Mus musculus: one gene and its partners. The protein of the gene in region 1 binds, or shares a complex with, the protein of each later gene. Links are inferred from orthologs where the notes say so. Each region holds a gene or a part of one and is shown in the gene's direction. Other genes may lie near its edges.

Evidence for each region.
Region 2: Arvcf (region 1) and Ddx5 share a complex: the UniProt entries of both Homo sapiens proteins name them as parts of the ribonucleoprotein complex. The link is inferred for Mus musculus from reciprocal best matches to the Homo sapiens genes ARVCF and DDX5.
Region 3: Arvcf (region 1) and Hnrnph2 share a complex: the UniProt entries of both Homo sapiens proteins name them as parts of the ribonucleoprotein complex. The link is inferred for Mus musculus from reciprocal best matches to the Homo sapiens genes ARVCF and HNRNPH2.
Region 4: Arvcf (region 1) and Pa2g4 share a complex: the UniProt entries of both Homo sapiens proteins name them as parts of the ribonucleoprotein complex. The link is inferred for Mus musculus from reciprocal best matches to the Homo sapiens genes ARVCF and PA2G4.
Region 5: Arvcf (region 1) and Srsf1 share a complex: the UniProt entries of both Homo sapiens proteins name them as parts of the ribonucleoprotein complex. The link is inferred for Mus musculus from reciprocal best matches to the Homo sapiens genes ARVCF and SRSF1.

What each region holds. Positions count from the first base shown.
Region 1 is NC_000082.6:18,346,898-18,350,991, forward strand, and holds the start of Arvcf (armadillo repeat protein deleted in velo-cardio-facial syndrome homolog), read left to right. Parts: upstream 1-1,284; 5' UTR 1,285-1,559; intron 1,560-4,094. UniProt on the Homo sapiens protein: Contributes to the regulation of alternative splicing of pre-mRNAs.
Region 2 is NC_000077.6:106,785,684-106,789,732, reverse strand, and holds the start of Ddx5 (probable ATP-dependent RNA helicase DDX5), read left to right. Parts: upstream 1-1,238; 5' UTR 1,239-1,416; coding exon 1,417-1,460; intron 1,461-2,658; coding exon 2,659-2,824; intron 2,825-3,188; coding exon 3,189-3,285; intron 3,286-3,373; coding exon 3,374-3,507; intron 3,508-3,600; coding exon 3,601-3,666; intron 3,667-4,049. Other genes in the region: Cep95 (centrosomal protein of 95 kDa), read right to left, coding at 356-374. UniProt on the Homo sapiens protein: Involved in the alternative regulation of pre-mRNA splicing; its RNA helicase activity is necessary for increasing tau exon 10 inclusion and occurs in a RBM4-dependent manner. Binds to the tau pre-mRNA in the stem-loop region downstream of exon 10.
Region 3 is NC_000086.7:134,604,179-134,607,560, forward strand, and holds the end of Hnrnph2 (heterogeneous nuclear ribonucleoprotein H2), read left to right. Parts: intron 1-676; 5' UTR 677-729; coding exon 730-2,079; 3' UTR 2,080-2,882; downstream 2,883-3,382. UniProt on the Homo sapiens protein: This protein is a component of the heterogeneous nuclear ribonucleoprotein (hnRNP) complexes which provide the substrate for the processing events that pre-mRNAs undergo before becoming functional, translatable mRNAs in the cytoplasm. Binds poly(RG).
Region 4 is NC_000076.6:128,563,124-128,567,208, reverse strand, and holds the start of Pa2g4 (proliferation-associated protein 2G4), read left to right. Parts: upstream 1-1,274; 5' UTR 1,275-1,381; coding exon 1,382-1,469; intron 1,470-3,503; coding exon 3,504-3,632; intron 3,633-3,879; coding exon 3,880-3,985; intron 3,986-4,073; coding exon 4,074-4,085. UniProt on the Homo sapiens protein: May play a role in a ERBB3-regulated signal transduction pathway. Seems be involved in growth regulation. Acts a corepressor of the androgen receptor (AR) and is regulated by the ERBB3 ligand neuregulin-1/heregulin (HRG).
Region 5 is NC_000077.6:88,045,935-88,050,183, forward strand, and holds the start of Srsf1 (serine/arginine-rich splicing factor 1), read left to right. Parts: upstream 1-1,438; 5' UTR 1,439-1,904; coding exon 1,905-2,098; intron 2,099-2,555; coding exon 2,556-2,740; intron 2,741-3,108; coding exon 3,109-3,281; coding exon of another isoform or gene 3,282-3,335; exon of another isoform or gene 3,336-3,477; coding exon 3,478-3,672; 3' UTR 3,673-4,249. UniProt on the Homo sapiens protein: Plays a role in preventing exon skipping, ensuring the accuracy of splicing and regulating alternative splicing.

The sequences.
Region 1 (4,094 bases):
AATACCAACGGATTAGTAGCAACTGCCTTGACTCTGAAAAGCTCCTGGTATCAATTTGTATTGTAGGCGACCCAGAAGTGAGCTCCTGCTCCAGGCATTTACTTTCTTTGTCTTCACCAAGCAACCCTTATTGGGTGAGCACACTGGACTCAGCATAGGTGGGTGAAATATGACCATCTGGGTAGACCCCCTACACACACAAACGCACACACACACACACACCCTGGCCTCCATTAGCACTATCTGTAAGGGGCCTTGGGAAACACCGACAGCCCAGAAGAGTTGCTCATTTCCAGTGCACTCAGGATAAGAGGCTTCTGAGCAAGCACAGGCCAGATTCATTTCCACAGTCTGCACTTCCATCTCCTGTTTATGTTACAGCATCCCCCGTGGGTCCCCTCCACTGCCTTATGTCACTGCAGAGATGTGTTTGGTGTGCTTTACCTAGTAGGGAAATATGTGTTTATCTTTTCAGGCAGTGGATAAAGCTCCTTGATATTTCTCCAAGACTCAAAGCAGGGCAGAGGAAATCGGGACACCAGGGTGTAGTGGGGAAGAGATAAACACATAATTCCCCTTTCCCGGGAAGAGGACGCTTTTCATTGCCCCGGGGAAAGAGCAGTCTCATGCAGCTGTAGGGAGTGCCCAAAGGCTCTGTAAATACAGGCTTCATAGAAGAAAAAAAGCTCTAGTTTTTCTAGAGTCTGCTTTTGCCCTCAAAATCACTGCAACCATCCCCACTTTGTACCAGCCTAGCTGACCTTGTTCGTCCTTGCTGCAGGGGTTATGGGGACAGTGAGAGAGCCCCCAAGGCTGGAAGTCCAACGACTGGGTTCACGCCCTGGTTGCCTAAAGCCTCAATTTTCTATCTGTAAAATGGGATTTATCTTTACACTTGCGGAGTGTAAGATAAATACCATTCTATGCCAATAGAAAGGAATCGACGCTCAATGTCCGGTTAACAGCAGGATACCTGGGAACTTGGGGTGGAGATGGAGACAACGCTGCTGGAATCCGGGAGTGACCGCCTGCCCTGCAAGTTCCAGCTCAGGGCCTACTATCCCCAGAACTCCTCTGAAGATGGCCGGGAGGGGGCAACTCCGAGCCTCCTGCAGCTGCTGCAGCCACAGCATTCCGGGCAGGTGTCAGGGCCTGCTCTGCTAGGGGGCCGACCTGGGCTAAGACTGACAATACCAGGAACCCAACAGCAAGCCGCAATCTCTGCACATCCATCCAATCGGTGCGGGTTGCGGGGCGCGTCTCTCTACCAATGGGAAAATTCGCAGTTGGATGGGGCGGGGCGGAGGCCTCGTCTCCGGCCAGGTCCGCTTTGCGCACGGGCAGCGGGAGGGGTAGGAGGGCTAGCCTGCTTGCTGGCTGCTCCAGTAGGGGAGGAGGAGTGTTCCCCCCCTCACCTCCTCACAAGCACAAGTTGTGGCCCCGGGAGCCACTTTCGGTGCTGGGCGCTGGAGAGGCCGCTCCCCGCGCACCGGGGGACCTGGGGACGCCTGTCTTGGGGGCGGAGGCCGCGCTGCGGAGCCGCCCACGCCGCGCGCCAGGTGAGCTCGGCCGGGTGGGCGGGGTCCGGCTGTGGGCCTGGGGCTGGACACTCGGGCCCCGGCCAGGATTAGGGGTAGGTCCTGGGGGAGCGAGCTGGTATAGTGTCTAGACTGAGATGCGGACTAAGATAGGGACAGGGTCCTGGGCTCGGACTTTAGGTCTGGGTGGGGCTCGGAAGCTGGTTCTTCTGCTCACCCGCGCTCTAGCACACGACGGGTCCCCAGAGACCCGGGTGGTTGGGGGCGGGTCCCTTTGTGCATGACCTCAGGGCTCTGTCCAACCTGGCTACGGCGCCGGCTTCAGCCTCCGGGCTGTTCAGCCTCCGGGATGAACTGGACCCAGCTCCCACAGCTTTGCCCTCCGCGAGCCACTGCAGAGCCTGCAAGCAGGGACCCGACGGCTATGGAAACTTTACCAGGACTCGGGCGGCGAGGCTGGGGAACTTCCCGGGGTGGTACGGCTGTTGGTGAGCGCAGGGTCTTGGCGATGCCAAGGGAATGTCCCTACGCAGCGACGATGCTCCTAAGGCCTCACAAAAGAGAGAGGAGGCGCTGCTGGGAATCCCTTGTCTGGTGTCCCTGCTTGAATCTCCTCCCTAGATACCCCTACATTCCTCAGTGGGACACCAGCCCTGGAGAATATGCAAGTCTGGAGTTGCTCTGCTTCAGGAGGCCTGGATACCATGGCTTTCCCCTTTTAATTTTTAAATAATTAAATGCTACTTATATTCAATATTTAACTATTTGTTTCAGTGTCAGGTATCAGTGTCTAAGGTACTAGGGGACTGTCTCTGAGGATTCAGACATTTAGAAATGATGGAAAAGAAAGAAAATGCTTCTGTTTGTGTTAACTCTTAGGCTAGACTCTTAATGTGGGCTAACAATCCGAAATGCAAAACACATGCTTACTTTTATAAAGCTAAGGGATGGAGCCATACCCAAATTGTCTTTGGGAATATCTTTTCCCTAAGTAGGACCAGCTATGCATTGAGTGCCTGTAATTCCACACTGGGATCCCCAGTCCTTCTACCTCTCTTTTGGTCCAGGACCCGGGTAGTCTATCCAGAGCAAGTGTTGCCTGCTTTGGGGAGTGTCTCAGGATCTTGAGGATATACCAGGATGTTGAAGTTGGTCCCTGTGTTCTGAGGTTAAGTTTGCTTCAGAAACAGGTGGTCTAGAGAGATATTAGCTATCTGAAAAGGCCTGAACCTACAAGTTTGTGTCATCTGAGGTATTTGATGCTTCTTGTTGTCTATGACCACTTTCCATTTGGGGTCAGGCAGGAAAAACTTGGCATGATGACAGAGGTGCTTCCGAGCACGGCCAAGCCAGTGCCCACTTGGGGCCTCTTAGATGTGCCATCCTCAGCACTTGTCTGCACAGACGCTGGTGACCAAGGCTCTCCCATGTCCCAGCTGCTACACTCCTCCCCGCTCAGTCTGTGCTCTGTGGCTCCCGACATTCATTCTCTCCCTCCCCTCCCCTTCCAGGTCGCCTTTTCTTGTCCCAGGCACCCTCTGCATGGCTTCCACAGGAGCAGGGCGACGACGTACCCCATCCTTCTTTGTGCAGCACAGGGGTTCAGGCTGAGCTCCCTTCACACCACAGGAGCCTGGAGCTCCAACACATGCCTAGCTGGAAAGCCAGGGCTCTGCTCCTTCTTGGCTGGTTGTCAGGATGCACAGTTGGGGAGGAGGTAGAGATTTCTTGAGCTCTGAGGGAGATCTGAGGGCCACGTAGTCATGGGATAGTGACACCTAGACCCAGAAGGGCACTGGTAGATGGAAATGGTTTTGCAGGGCAGTCCAGACATGAGCTGTGTCCACGTGTATGAACACATCAGTGTTCATAGGAACAGTCAGTGCGTTCTTGTCATGGGTAAGGAGGGATGGTTTGGCTGGGGCAGGTACTCGTCATTGAGCAGAATGAATTTCCCTGCCTGTTGGCTGAAGGGCTCTCTGTATCTGTGATTACTGGAAGGGCACGTTCCCAGCTACTTGCATTTTCAGTCCTACCTATGCGTACAGAGCAGAGCCCAAGGCGACCCATGCAAGACTACAGCCTGCTGCGGTACAATACAGTCAGCACCGAGCAAGCTCTTACTTAGGCAGGCCATCTTGATCCAGGGTGGGCGTATGTGATCCTAAATTACCTGCCTCTCATGCTCAGTCTGGCCTGACTCAGCTTGTACCTGTGGGAACTCTCCACATAGTCAGCCTTTGCTGGCCCATAGCTTGCTGGTCTGGTGTTTAAGCTTGTACCCCAGTCTTAAGCCCCATGGTTACGTCAGTGGCATGGCGCTATAACATGGCTGCAGACCCTTCCCAGAGTCTGAGTAGGTCTGTGGGGTACAGGCAGGTAGTGGCAGTGTCTCTGTGGAGAAACCCAGTGTGTGTGCCTGGCAGGCAGGTTATGGCAAGGGTAGGCTCAGACCATCCTCGTGGGAGAACTGGAGCCTGGCAAAGCACCCGGTGGTCTTTGGCCAGGTGGGTGACCCCAGAGCCTGTAGACCAGTTCAGCAGAATGTTCAAAGGG
Region 2 (4,049 bases), on another chromosome or scaffold:
TGCCTTAGTCCAAACAAAGCAAGGGGAAAGAGAGACAGTCTGTGGATAGATACCCCACAAAAATTCGGATCCAAGAAAGGATCTTGACTGCTCTATATAGACAGGATGCGGGTGTCCCAGGCTCGACAAAGAGTTCCTATCTCATCCCAAGTCTCAGTTCCACGTCTGGAAACCGCAAGAGGTTTCGAGGCTGAGACCCTAAATTCATAGAACCCCCCCCCCCACCGCGCGCGCGACTGCAACTAGTGTCCGACAGTCCCGAGCCTCCGCAGCGGCGCAGACGCGGTTCAGATTCAGCCCAAGGTCCGCGGAATGCTGCAGTACAAAACCACCAGGGCTCCAGGCCGAGACTCACCAGCCTCTGAGCTGGCCATACTGCCAGGAGAGGTCGCGGCCGGACTCCAAGACGAGAGCGCGGGCGACGGTGTCCCAGAAGGGTCGAACTCGGTCGAGCCGACGGGAGGAGGAGGGGGCAGACACTAGCGAGCGGGGAAGGAGGGGTGGAAGAGGGAGGGACGTTAAAACGGCTTCTCGACGCTGATTGGACAGCAGAGGAGCACTTCCTCGCAGCACGCGCTGAGGCGGCAGTTTGCGGGCTCCAGATACCATTCCCCGCGGTCAAGATCCCGCTTACGGGTTCTCAGATCGGCGGGCAGGGCAGCCAGGTCACCCAGCAGCCCGGCCGATCTCCCCGGGGGCGTTGGAGCCGCGCTTCCGGTGAGTTGGTGGTTTGGTGTTCCTCCGCCGAGAGACCAAGCGAGGAAGTAGTGCGATCCGCCTTGCCCTGGGTCCGATCACGTGATGAGGCCAAGCTCCGCCTCCCTGGTCTCCTTCGGTTATGGGCGTGGGGGGAGTCTGTGGAGACGTAAACATCTTCAAGTAGAGTCGGTGGAATGGCTGGCGCTGGCCATTTTAAGGACCGTCTGGCCACGGGGAAGCAGCTTGTCTGAGGTGTAGCGAGACGAGAGACGGCGGTGTCGCCAAAAGGGCGTCGGGGCGAGGCATTCTAGTGGTGTCACCCAGTCGTGAAGCGAGTAATAAACGGGCGCCGGGGAGGGAGCGCCCGCCCGCGGAGGGGGAGGGGCGAGAACATGGCGGATTCCGGAACCCGGGCGGGCGGGCGTTGAGGGCCTCCGAGCCAGGGGGGCGGGGTGATTAGGTCATAGAGCGGCTCCCAGCGTGCTTTGCGGCGAGGAGGCGGTCCAGACTATAAAAGCGGCTGCCGGGACGCAGCCGGCACCTCATTCATTTCCATCGGTCCTTGCCCTCGCAGCTCCGGCCCTCGACACCACCGGCCCCTCCGCTGGTGACGCCCCCGCAGAGGCTTCGCCGTCGCCGAGGCCTTCTCTCCGCGACTCGTCGCCGCAGGATTCTACTTTCACTGGGTTCCGCCCGCACACCGCCACCATTGACGCCATGTCGAGTTATTCTAGTGACCGAGACCGCGGCCGGGATCGAGGGTGAGTGTGACAAGAGACCTGTCAGGCCGGGTGGGGGATGGGAGAGCGGCGCGGCCGAAGGCTCGCCTTCCCAACCGACCTTTAGATTTTTTTTTTTCCCTTCCTGAAAGGAGGCCTGGCTTTTGTCACACGTCCGGTTAAAAGCCGTTAAAGGCTACGCTTCGGGTAATGGCGTTCAACCTTTTTTTTTTTTTTTTTTTTTTTTTTTTTGGTCCGGGAGGGTGGGCCGGGACCCGGGGCGGCCCGGCGACCTCGCGGCTGTTGAGGGAAACCCGGAGGAGTGTTTTCGGTCGGGAAGCGCCGCGCCTTTGAGGCGGTTCCCGGCGTCGTTTGCGCAATCTTTCGTTGGGTTGTTTTTTGAGGGGGGCCCCCCCTTCCGGTATCCCCGGGGGAAAGAAGGGGCGCTTTCGAGGTCCCCTGTGCCCCGTTGGGTGGCCTACGCCGGCGGATTCGGCCATGTGGCGGAGCCGCAGCCACAAAATGCCGGCCTCGGACATGGCGGCGGCGCCTTTGTTACCCCGCCCGGCGGAGGAGCTCAAAATGGCAGCGGCGAGAAAATGTGGCGCAGAGAGAAATGCGAGACAAAGAAGGAAGCGCCGCCCCAGCGGGAACGCCGCCCGGGCCGGGACTCCTCCCCCGGTTGCTTTCGGCTCCTCCTCTTTTTCTCCCTCGCGTTATATAATTTTGTTACCTTGGTTTGCAGCCGTTCGCGGCGTTTCCCTAGACTCGGCTCGCTGGCGCCTGTTCCCCTTTCTACCCTGTCCGCCGTGCTAGCCTCGTTCAGCTGCTCACATTGCCTTTGCGGCCCCGTTATTTCTTTAAGATTAGGTCCTTTGATGAAAACGGGCAAAAATAACCTTCCTAAGCTCCTCCCTTCTTGCCCAGCTCCTAGACGCTAATGCCTAAGCTCTGTGGGGAGAGAAGATGGAGGCTCTAACTCTTGTCCTTGTAATCTGGTCAGATGTTTGGGCTGTTTGCCACCTGATAAACCCACGATGTTTATTTGGCCTCAGTAGAGTGTGCTTGGGACTTCAGAAAAGAAACGCTGCCAGTTGTGGCTGTCCTTAGAATGACAGTTGGGAAGGATTCCAGAAGCACACTTTGGCTCTATCAAAAGGCAGCAGATGAAATGTGAGGGCAAACCTGTTCATGCAGTATCTTTCACAATGTGCCCAACTTTTGTTTTGTGTGTGTGTAGGTTTGGTGCACCTCGATTTGGAGGGAGTAGAACAGGACCCCTCTCTGGAAAGAAGTTTGGAAATCCTGGGGAGAAACTAGTTAAAAAGAAGTGGAATCTTGATGAGCTGCCCAAATTTGAGAAGAATTTTTATCAAGAACACCCTGATTTGGCAAGGCGCACCGCAGTGAGTTTATAAATGTGGCTTCTTCATGCTGTAACTCAGTAACTGCTTCTAGTCAATTAGATGGAAATGTAATAGGTGCCTTGCAAATGGAGAGTTGCTTGTGGTGCACTTCCATTGAATTTTTCTTGTGATATATGGTGCCCTATTTTAATCCTGTCACTGGGGAAACAGGTTTAGCAGTCTATTGGGCTTCATAGAGACTCAATTTTCATTTAAATAAGTATTATAAATTAATTATTAATTTTTGTTGCCAAGTAGAGTTCTTATTTATGGGTCCAGATTTTTAGAAATAAGTATGTTTAAAAGTTTATTGAGCTATAGGGAGCATGGCAGAAGTCTGAGGCTGAGATAATTTGTTTTTCAGCAAGAGGTAGATACATACAGAAGAAGCAAGGAAATTACAGTTAGAGGTCACAACTGTCCAAAACCTGTTCTGAATTTTTATGAAGCAAACTTTCCTGGTAAGGACTAACTTTCATCTTTATCCTTTCATTTCCCCCCCCCCCCTTGCTTATAAATTTGTTTTTAAAATGGTATTGTTGGTTGCAGCGAATGTCATGGATGTGATTGCAAGGCAGAACTTTACTGAACCCACTGCTATTCAAGCTCAGGGCTGGCCAGTTGCTCTCAGTGGATTGGATATGGTTGGAGTAGCTCAGACTGGATCTGGGAAAACATTATCTGTAAGTCTAGGAAAACTTGATAAATTGTGGCAGAGGTGACCTTAGATATATAACTATTTTAATCCAATTTCTATTATTTTTACTCTTCAATAGTATTTGCTGCCTGCCATTGTACACATAAACCACCAGCCATTCCTAGAGAGAGGTGATGGGCCTATTGTAAGTATTATCTTAAGTTTCCCACCATATTTGCTAAAACTCCTTTGACTTTCATATAGGGAATATAGGGTTGCCAGTATAAACTAGCCACTTAAAATTAGTATCCAGCCCAGGCGTGGTGGCACACACCTTTAATCACAGCACTGGGGAGGCAGAGGCAGGTGGATTTCTGAGTTCCAGGACAGCCAGAGCTACACAAAGAAACCCTATCTCGGGGGGAAAAAATTAGTATCCAAAGACAGTTAGTTGGATCAGCCAATTATAGATACTTGTCATGAGCCTGATCAAGATCAACTACCACAAGGAGAGACCAACTTGCAAAAGTTGCCTTCTGGTTTCTCCATGTGCTTCCACACACAAAAATTTTATCCTGAGAATAGTGC
Region 3 (3,382 bases), on another chromosome or scaffold:
TACACGTAATCAACCAATCCTTCTATGAACGTGCCTTCTATGTAGTCTATGTATCTGCACTTTGTTGAGGACACATAGTTCTCCTATAGAACTGTGATTCGTCCGTGGCAGAACTGTGGACTGAAGCTGGCTCCTAAAACTTGTTTAAATGTATATTAATGTCTTCCATTTATCTCTTAGGCTTTAGTACTTCTGTATTTTATTGACTTGTATTCATTCTTTATATTTTTAGGCTATTTAATGGATTTGTTGTATTGTCTCATGAGTTTTGTTTGTCTTTTGATTTAAAGAATATTTTCATTTTTCTATAATGGGATATAGTTGTACATTGTTATATTTAGTTTTAATTTTCTCTCTGTGATGTTAATACATTGGCTCAGTGCAGAAAATTTAGAATATTCGAAATTATCTAAAGGAAAAAAGTATCCATGGAAACAAAAAAAAATTCCTATAGTACTGTTACCCAGAAATAACCACTGTTAATTAGACCTGATACATAAGAGAAATGGTATAAGCACTCGCTAAGTGAATGGATTAAAAGTTTTATGCAGTCTTTGCTCATATGGCTCCTTTGAAAAACTTACTGATGTGAACTTGTAAAATAATAGTTTTCTTTGTTTCTCTTACTATATTATATACACTTTTTCATGACAATAGTTTTCTAATTTTTTTAAAGCCACATTGAATTTGCATTGAGCCAAGCTTGCCACCAAGAGTCCATCAGTCACCATGATGCTGAGCACAGAGGGCAGGGAGGGGTTCGTGGTGAAGGTCAGGGGCCTACCCTGGTCCTGCTCAGCCGAGGAAGTGATGCGCTTCTTCTCTGATTGCAAAATCCAAAATGGCACATCAGGTGTTCGTTTCATCTACACCAGAGAAGGCAGACCGAGTGGTGAAGCATTTGTCGAACTTGAATCTGAAGATGAAGTGAAATTGGCTTTAAAGAAAGACAGAGAAACCATGGGACACAGATATGTTGAAGTATTCAAATCCAACAGTGTTGAAATGGATTGGGTGTTAAAGCATACAGGTCCAAATAGTCCTGATACTGCCAATGATGGTTTTGTACGACTCAGAGGACTCCCATTTGGCTGTAGCAAGGAAGAAATTGTTCAGTTCTTTTCAGGGTTGGAAATTGTGCCAAATGGGATGACACTGCCAGTGGACTTTCAGGGGCGGAGCACAGGGGAAGCTTTTGTGCAGTTTGCTTCACAGGAGATAGCTGAGAAGGCCTTAAAGAAACACAAGGAAAGAATAGGGCATAGGTACATCGAAATCTTCAAGAGTAGCCGAGCTGAAGTCCGAACCCACTATGATCCACCTAGAAAGCTCATGACTATGCAGCGCCCGGGTCCTTACGATAGGCCAGGGGCTGGAAGAGGGTATAATAGCATTGGCAGAGGAGCCGGGTTTGAAAGAATGAGGCGGGGTGCCTATGGTGGAGGGTATGGAGGCTATGATGACTATGGAGGTTATAATGACGGGTATGGTTTTGGGTCTGATAGATTTGGAAGAGACCTAAACTACTGTTTCTCAGGAATGTCTGATCATAGATATGGAGATGGTGGGTCCAGTTTCCAGAGCACCACGGGGCACTGTGTACATATGAGGGGGTTACCATACAGAGCCACCGAGAATGATATTTACAATTTTTTCTCACCTCTTAATCCCATGAGAGTGCACATTGAAATAGGACCTGATGGAAGAGTTACTGGTGAGGCAGATGTTGAGTTTGCTACTCATGAAGACGCTGTGGCAGCTATGGCAAAAGATAAAGCAAATATGCAACACAGATATGTGGAGCTCTTCTTGAATTCTACCGCAGGGACAAGTGGAGGAGCTTATGATCATAGCTATGTAGAGCTCTTTTTGAATTCTACAGCAGGGGCAAGTGGTGGTGCTTACGGTAGCCAGATGATGGGAGGGATGGGTTTATCCAACCAGTCTAGTTATGGAGGTCCGGCCAGCCAGCAGCTGAGTGGTGGCTATGGAGGGGGTTATGGTGGTCAGAGCAGTATGAGTGGATATGACCAAGTTCTTCAGGAAAACTCAAGTGACTATCAGTCAAACCTTGCTTAGGAAGCAAGGGACCATCCAATAACATCTACATGAATAAAAGCTATCTTTATAGGAACTGGATAGAGTAGGGAGGGTGTCTTTATATCCAGTATGATTGGTAAATGGGAAGTACAACTGCTTCTGATCACTATTGGTCAGCTTCTTTCTTCTTTTTCCTTTTTTTTTTTTTAAAAAAAAGAACAAAAATTTAAGTTTTAACAGTTTCGCATTACAAGCTTGTGATTCATGCTTACTGTAAAGTGAAAGTTAAGATTGTTTTCAAACTTTAAGCTCAGCAATTTTGAACACTGAAAATATTCATCTAGGATGTAATAACAAGTTCAGTATTGACCATAACTGTCAACTCCCCTTTGAGCTTTCCTCAAGTTAGTTATGTTGTAGGAGTGTACTTAAGCAGCAAGCATATTTAGGTTTAAAGCAGTTTCACTTACGTTAAATGTTGCTCTTATACCACAATACATCGAAAACTTCAGATGCATGTTGAAAAACATGCTTTTCTGTAAAAAAAAATATATATAGGAGCTGTGTCTATGATTCAAAGTGACAACATTTGGCATGTTTGTTAATTCTAGCTTTTTGGTTTAATATCCTGTAAGGCACGTGAGTGTACACTTTCACTTTTTTTTTTAAAGATCCGGAACAATTTTGAGATGTGATACCAATACATTAGGAGTTTGGTCATGTTATTTGTATGGAATTCTGGGGCTTTGATTTAAACCTTACCTTGTATTGTGAATTCCATTTAGATGTATTGTACTAAGTGAAACTTGTTAAATAAATCTTCCTTTTAAAAACTGGAAAAATCTTGCATAGTTTGATTTTCTTTTTTAAAATCATGTTCTATTATATGGACACACAGTAACTGGCTTTTAAAGTTCTCTGCTGTTGAAATTTTAATTTTTTTCTCAAATATTCCAGGCTATGAATGACTCAAGTTTTGATCCTCCTGCCTCTACTTCCTAAGGATTAGAATTGCAGTCATACGTCACTGTCCAGTTTATGCAGTGCTGGAGAACAAACCCAGGGCTGCTTGCATACAAGACATGAACTGTACCAACAGAGCTATATTCATAGCCTAAATTTTGATTGTGTGTTGCTAGAGGGTAGAGAACAATATTGGATCTCCTTTTCTAAATGCCCTGCCTTATTGTCTTGGTGGTAATGGGGTCTTTCACTGAGCCTGCAACTAGGCTGGCAGCCAGGAAGTCCCAGTGATCTGCCACTGCTGTACACTGCACTGGGGTTATAATCACACTGATCTTACTGGGTCACACTTTGTGGGTGACCATGGCTGGGTTGTTAC
Region 4 (4,085 bases), on another chromosome or scaffold:
TGTTTGCATTCTAGTCTTTTTCTTTTGTTTGTTTTTTCGAGACAGGGTTTCTCTGTGTAGCCCTGGCTGTCCTGGAACTCACTCTGTAGACCGGGCTGGCCTCGAACTCAGAAATCCGACTACTTCTGCCTCTCAAATGCTGGGATTAAAGGCGTGCACCACCAGTGCCCGGCTTTGCATTTCTAGTCCTTTCTACTAAAGGGTTTTTTACTGGGGATCCCTACAAAGGAACAAAAGTGTAAACAATTAGGAACAAAACCCTAACCCCCTGATTGTTGGGAGAAAATGAAAAAGCTCAAGCAAGCCTTGGGTTGTTTTTATTTTTTCCTACACAGGTTGGGTACTGAAAACTTGAAATGATGCAGAACTTTTTTTTTTTTGTTCGAGACAGGGTTTCTCCATATAGCCCTGGCTGTCCTGGAACTCACTCTGTAGACCAGGCTGGCCTCCAACTCAGAAATCTGCCTGCCTTTGCGTGCGCCACCTCATCCCGGCGATTCAGAACTCTTAAGAGTGACCAAATCCCTCATAAACGTTTCCCTTAGATGGCCCCCATCAAAAACCACGGCTGGAACAATAGTGCTATTTTATTCTAGTCTAGTAGGAAGTCTGGCCTTTTTCTATTAGCAGGCCATGGTACATGTATAATCACCCAGACTGTCCAGTTAGTGCTCGCTTCCAGCACCCTAGGACTTCCACCTCCGCTCAGCCCCTCCCAGAGGTTATCCCAGCACTGGAGGATTTGACCAGCCAGGCCGGTCGCGCCGGCCGACAGGGGAATCCAAGGCTACGCGCACGGGACAACCGCCCAAAACGTACACACACACCCACTGACCCTAGTCCTATGGCTCCAGGCTCCACCCTGTTCCACCCTGCCCAGCGGCCTCTCAACCCTTTTCTCCCTGTAGCTCCACCCCTCCCCGCTTGGCCCGCCCCTCGCTGTTACGAGCTCAGGGTCGGCGTGAATGAGAGGTTTTTCCCGGAGAGACCACGCTTTCCCTCAAGCTCCCCAACGGCTCCGCCTTCCCGCCGGGGCCAGACTCTTCCCAGCGTGCCCGGCGATTCCGGCGTGCGCAGACTTGGGAAGGCAAGTCCTCCCAGGGCCTGGCGGACGGGCGCGAGGAGCAGGCTGGGAATTGTAGTTCTAGAGCCCGCGAGGGCGGCTGGGAACTGGCCGACAGCAGGACTCATTGTCCCAGTGTGCCCTGCGCCTCAGCCCGCGCGCTCGCAGCTTCTCGCTCTCTCTGCCCGCCCTCCCGCTCCCTTGCTTGCTCGCGCTTTCCTCGCGGATCGAAGAGACTCTAGCTACAGCCTGTGGCTGGGAAGGGAGACGGAGGCCGCAGCTCAGGGAAAGTGAAGCTGCAGTAGTAGCAGTAGGAAGATGTCGGGCGAAGACGAGCAGCAGGAGCAAACTATCGCCGAGGACCTGGTCGTGACCAAGTATAAGATGGGGGGCGACATCGCCAACCGTGAGTGCGGCCTCGGGGGTCTTGGAGTCGAGGCTGAGAGGGAGAGGTTTGGGGCTCTCTCCGGAGGGCTGTGGCGTCTGGGTCTTGCCGAGTGAGCCACCGAGGGGCGCGTGCCGACTGCCGGGGGCGACGTGGTGGGGAGATCTGGTGTCGCCCTGGGGACTGAGCAGCCATGCCTGGGCTGGAGAGTGGAGGTGCGGGCCGGCGACCGCGAGGAGTACAGAGAGGGGCCCAGGCATGCTCCGACCCTGGGCGGTTGGTAAGGAGGCAAGGCGCGTCGTCTTCTGCCCATACCCTTCGGTCTGTCCGGATCTATGCTCCCGACTGGCAGCAGTGAGGCCACCTCGAAAAGGAAGCGGCCAGCTGTTGGCGACGGAAGCGCCCCTCTGCCAGTCGCGGCTCTTGACCCGCGGGAGCTGAGCCGGCACGTGTTGCCAGGTCCCTGTGTGCGGATCGATGGCTCCCCACTTCCTCTCCTACCGTGCTTCCCCACCACGTGCTTTGCTAAAGTCTTTACTTCAGGTCTTCTTAGTGGGGACCCCCTTCGCCCCTTGACCTAGCTCGAGGGGCCGTTGGAAGACACTTCTGGAGCTTCTAAAACAACCTGGCTTTCCTGTATGACCACTGCTCCGGTTTTTGAAGGCGGCCTTTAATATTTGTTCCTAGAGCCTCTACAGTGTTTTGAGGTTCTGCTTAGACAGCTGGGCAAGCCTGTCTATAATACTGAAAAGAAGTGGAGAGAGACACGGATTTTAGGATTATAAGCATTTCTTAAATGATCTTTACTCTCCTAACAGTTGTCTGCCACTTGGACAGATAACTTTACTGTTTTCTCTTTCCAGTTCTTTCCCTCCCTTACCCCCTTATTTTTGGGGCTTTCTGTGTAGCTTTGGCTGTCCTGGTACTCCCTTAGACCAGGCTGGCCTGAGAGATCCGCCCACCTCAGCGTTCCAGAGTGCTGGGATTAAAGGTGTGTGTAACCATGCCCGGCTCTTTAACATTTTAAAAATTAAAATTCACTTGATAAAAACTGTCTTAGACTTGGCAGTGGTGGCTCACGCCTTTAATCCCAGCACTTGGGGAGCAGAGGCAGGCGGATTTCTGAGTTTCAGAGAAACCCTGTCTTGAGGAAAAAAAAAAAACTGCCTTAGGCCTTTAGAATGGACTTGACAAAATACTTGGAAGAAGGTATTTAGGGTGTCTTTGGTTACATCTTAGTTCCTCTGGAATCCAGAGAATAAAACACATAAGAAATCATCAAACCTAGAATTCCCATGATCATAAAGACATACACAAAATGATAACCTTATTTGGGGTGATGTTTTAGTATTTGCTGTTGGTTTGAATCAGACAGAATCTCCAACCCCACAGGCAACTTCAGATAATAGTTTTGAAACTGGTTACATGTGATCTTGATATACTGGAAGTAAAGTTTTAGCCCTCTGAATCTTTAAGACCTTAGGTTAATTCCCCTGGGCTTATATACTTAGACATGGGGAAATACAGCCACATAAATTATGATTACTACTTTGTGTCTGGGGAGGGACGGAGGTAACATTTAACAATGCTTCAACTTTGACTCAGCAGTTCTCTACCTCCCCATTGTCCCCGACGCCTATAAATGTCTTTTGGTCTGTTTGTGTGTGTGGAGTGGGTTGCCACAGCATCTTTGGGATGTGTGAGGCCTAAGGCCTAAGTGTCAAATCATGGAGAGGAGAGAAGCTGGTGCTGACCTTATTTTTGGAAGGGAAGGTAGGAAGTAGAGCAGGGTGTGGTGGGCTCACCTTCAGTGCCAGCACATGTGTGGGGAGACAGAGGCAGGCAGGTCTACGCTGAATTCTAGGACAGTCAGGGGTATTTCTCAAAAACAAAAACGCAGACGTTAAACATGGGTAGATTATTCCAGGACATAAACCTTTCCTCTCTCTACCTTAGGACAATGAACAGTGTTGGGAGTATGAGAAACGAAATTCAGTTTGTGGTCTGGTCACATGATGAACGCATGCAGGGCTGATGGGTTTCTCCTGTTCCCAGGGGTGCTTCGATCTTTGGTGGAGGCTTCCAGCTCAGGTGTGTCTGTGCTGAGCTTGTGTGAGAAAGGTGATGCCATGATTATGGAAGAGACAGGGAAGATCTTCAAGAAGGAAAAGGAGATGAAGAAAGGTAAGAAGGGTAAAACCCTCCCTCTTGATTTCTCCTATTTGAACCCAGCCACCTAGTTGCCCTCCCACAAACACACCCCACCCCCCCAAATCCCTGGTTAAGCTATTTGAAAATCTAAGTAGCAAGTGGGATGGGTACAGTTTCCTTCCCAGACTAAACCGAAAACCAGTCCCCTTCAACTTTTCTAAAGGGCAGGAAGTGTTCCCAGGTGAGAACAAGGCAGTAAGGTTGATGGTTCTTTTTACAGGTATTGCCTTTCCTACCAGCATTTCCGTAAATAACTGTGTGTGTCACTTCTCCCCTTTGAAGAGTGACCAGGACTATATACTCAAGGAAGGTGACTTGGTAAAAATGTAAGGCTGAGCTGTTCTGGAGTATCTGTCATTTTCCTGTGTGTGCGCGCACTGTTGGTTTCTAATGCAGTGCTGTTTTGCCTTCCAGTGACCTTGGGGT
Region 5 (4,249 bases), on another chromosome or scaffold:
ATATTTAATGGTTTCATTTTAAGCAGCCCCACATCCTTGGACTGTTGTAAATAAATGATAACATCCAGGGGCAGCAATGACTCAGTGACTCATCTGGTTAAGGTGCTCCTCCCAAGCCTGACGTTTCATCTCGGGGGCTCACATGGCATGAGTGGTGAACTGCACCTTATTTTCTGACTTTCACACATGGGCCATGGCATGACCCACCACCCCAAGACACAATATGCATAACATAAAAATTAAAAACTAAAAATTACAGTATAAAGAATCACCCTTAGAACCTGTGGGGATCCGACTTAGCATATTTATTAGTGATAGGGTCGACACAGCTCTGGCTGGCCTTGAACCCTGAAATTCCGCTTCCCAAAAACTTCAAGAGGCATTTACCACTACGCCTGGCTGTCTCTATCCAATCATGAAAGGCTCTGGTTTTAGCTGGGAGGTAGTGACTTTGATCCCAGCACTCAGAAGGCAGGAACTCCAGGACAGCCAGGGGTACACAGAGAAATCGTGTCTCAAACAAAACAACCCCAAAACAAAAACAACACCAAGAAAACGTTTTGTTTTTCAATATTTTTAATAGAAAGGGTTTCCCTGAATGTCCCGGGCTAACCTTTCCCCCCGCCTCCCCTTTGGTTTTTCGAGACAGGGCTTCTCTGTATAGCCCTGGCTGTCCTGGAACTCACTCAGTAGACCAGGCTGGCCTCGAACTCTGAAATCCGCCTGCCTCTGCCTCCCGAGCGCTGGGATTAAAGGCATGCGCCACCACTGCCTGGCTCCGGGATAACCTTTACTAGAACTGTGTATAACAGGGTAGGCTGGACCCTCCTTGCCTCAGCTTCCGGAGTGATAGGATTTCAGGCACACAAGCTTAAGTCCAGATTGGTTTGCTTTTATTATAATTCGAGTTCATTAACAACACTACAAGGCCGTATGATTTCACACGTAAGGCTCTTCTATTCCCGTTATTACAAAACAAAGAAGCAAAATTGTGGTATCCAATGCAAGAATCCTTTTGCAGATAATCTTGGCAAAATAAACAAATAAATAAATAATCTCCCTAGACCAGCACAGAACCGGGATCTCGGCTCTGCAGTTAAACTGTTTTATCACTCTTCCTTTTTCATCCTTAGAAAGGAGGAAGAGGAAAACTCAAGGCACAGTTTTCATTTAGATAGATATGGAGGATCCGTCTAGACACTTTAACTAAGATGCAGCCCACCGCAGGTTCCCAGAGGCAGAAGCCACACTGCTCCGCTTCGGCTTTTAAATGAAATCACCTGCAACTCCCGCCGGCGGCACCGAAGTGCAGAAGATGCCCAGGTTTCCGGAGCAACAGCTCAGCGTCATCTATCTCCGCCCCGCGGCGCCTTTCCCGCCAAAGGCCGTTACCACCGCGGAGCATGGTGGGACACGCTTGCAAGATAGGTTTCACCCAATCTTTTTAGAGCGCCGAGCTGCTTTCAGAGAGGGTCTACCCCCGAGGTGGCCGACGATTCTGGACTCAGTGGGGATTAATAATAACCGCTTTAACCAGAGCATGTGATTTTTACTAAACGCCTGGACGTTCCAGCAGCCAGTCAACCCGCCAGGACGCGAGGGACTTTTTCCCCTCCGTGCGGAGGGTGACGTCGCGCGTGCGCGAGCGTGCTTCTCAGCACCCGTTAGAGGCGTGCGCCTGCGCACTGGGAGGGACGAGCCGCTTCCTCCGGCTTCTCTTCCTCCCCCTCCCCCCCGGTATCAGTGCGCCGAGCTGATAAAGGCGCCATTTTGGAGCGGCCGCGGGAGACGTGGTGCCGCTGAGGGCTCGCTCTGCCGTACGCTAGGCTTGGTAGGAAGGCCTCTTTTTTTTTTTTTCCTTCCCCCCCCCCGAGTCCGCGCTTTTCGTCGTCGCCGCCGCCGCCATGTCGGGAGGTGGTGTGATCCGTGGCCCGGCGGGGAACAACGACTGCCGCATCTACGTGGGTAACCTACCTCCGGATATCCGAACCAAGGACATCGAGGACGTGTTTTACAAATACGGCGCCATCCGCGACATCGACCTGAAGAACCGCCGCGGGGGACCGCCCTTCGCCTTCGTTGAGTTCGAGGACCCGCGGTGAGGCAGCGTGGGGCGTGCGCGGCCTTGAGGAGATAGCGTGGAGGAGTTGGGGAAGGCTCGGAGGCCTTGGAACATAATGGGGGGAGAGGAGGGGCTCCGAGGCGCTATCGCCCCTGCAGGAGTCGAGTCAGGAGAGCCGAGAGGCGGCGCGTTGTCTCCGGTGGCCGGCCGCCTCGGACGTCCCCCCTACCCCCCGAGCCCATGCGCAGCCCCCGGAGCGGGAAACCGAGGCGCTGAGGGCCGGCGAGGTGGTCGGGAGCCTCTGCCCGGCGTGGTGCTGGGTGGGGGAAGGGCCGGCCCTATTATGCGGCGCATGTGGGGCTCCGTGTGGCCCCGTGGGTGCGCATGTGCGCTGTGGCCGCGGCTTTTCACCCCCGGAGCGGGCGAACGAGCTGGGTCCGGCGGCTCCCTCCCCTCATCACCCCCCCCTTTCGCTTTCTGTGATCACACGCAGAGACGCGGAAGATGCGGTGTACGGTCGCGACGGCTACGACTACGACGGCTACCGGCTGCGGGTAGAGTTTCCCCGAAGCGGCCGCGGGACCGGCCGAGGCGGCGGCGGGGGTGGAGGCGGCGGCGCCCCGAGAGGCCGCTATGGCCCGCCGTCCAGGCGGTCCGAGAACAGAGTGGTTGTCTCTGGTGAGTTGACTTCGTGCGGGTTAAAATCTTTTTCCCGCATGACTGCTTTGAGTACTGCAAGGTTTTTGTTATTGTTGTTTTTGTTTTGTTTTACACACGGGGTCTTGGACTACTTCGGTCTTTGGGATGAATTTAGTAAATAAAGATTACTGTGGTGGTGATTTACCCAAATTAGGTTGCAGTACTAGCCTATGAAGATCCTTTACAAATAAATTTGGACTCTGGATCTGACTCTTACCAGCTCTTTACCTGGAAACACTTAAGTACAATCATTAAGTATTTTAAAATAATCCTTGTTCGAATGTACTTTACACGTTTGCCGTGGGACAGGATGAGTAGTATTAAATTAGGGGGAATCGCTTTTTCAGGACTGCCTCCGAGTGGAAGCTGGCAGGACTTAAAGGATCACATGCGTGAGGCAGGTGATGTATGTTACGCTGATGTTTACCGAGATGGCACTGGTGTCGTGGAGTTTGTACGGAAAGAAGATATGACGTATGCAGTTCGAAAACTGGATAACACTAAGTTTAGATCTCACGAGGTAGGTTATACACTTATTCTTTTTTTTGGCCAGAATTGGATACAGTTTTCTTAACAGTGGAATTTGAAGGTAAGGATACAGGCAAGGGTGTTCACGTAAATTACCAGAGCCCTGATCTGTCTTTGTATTCGTTCAGCTTGTCTGAAGACAGGTGAAAGCTTAGATCTTTCAATGGAAAGTTCTGTCTATCCAATAGGGAGAAACTGCCTACATCCGGGTTAAAGTTGATGGGCCCAGAAGTCCAAGTTATGGAAGATCTCGATCTCGAAGCCGTAGTCGTAGCAGAAGCCGTAGCAGAAGCAACAGCAGGAGTCGCAGTTACTCCCCAAGGAGAAGCAGAGGATCACCACGCTATTCTCCCCGTCATAGCAGATCTCGCTCTCGTACATAAGATGATTGGTGACACTTTTTGTAGAACCCATGTTGTATACAGTTTTCCTTTACTCAGTACAATCTTTTCATTTTTTTAATTCAAGCTGTTTTGTTCAGAATGGGCTAAAGTGTTGAATTGCATTCTTGTGTAATATCCCCTTGCTCCTAACATCTACATTCCCCTCATGTCTTTGGTAACTTGTATTTTAAGTGATGTCATAGACAGGATTGTTTAAATTTAGTTAATTTCCATGCTCTTCAGACTGTGATATTATGTAAATGTCTATTCTGCTCTGGTTTGTGTGAAATGGGATGTTGGGGGTGTTTGTGGTTATCTTACTTGGGGGAAGTTCTTATGTTTATCTTGCTTTTCATGTGTCTTTCTGTAGACATATCTGAAGAGATGGATTAAGAATGCTTTGGATTAAGGATTGTGGAGCACATTTCAATCATTTTAGGATTGTCAAAAGGAGGATTGAGGAGGATCAGATCAATAATGGAGGCAATGGTATGACTCCAAGTGCTATTGTCACAGATGAAATTGGCAGTATTGACCTTATACTAGAAGGCGAGGGTTAAAAATTTATCTACCTTAA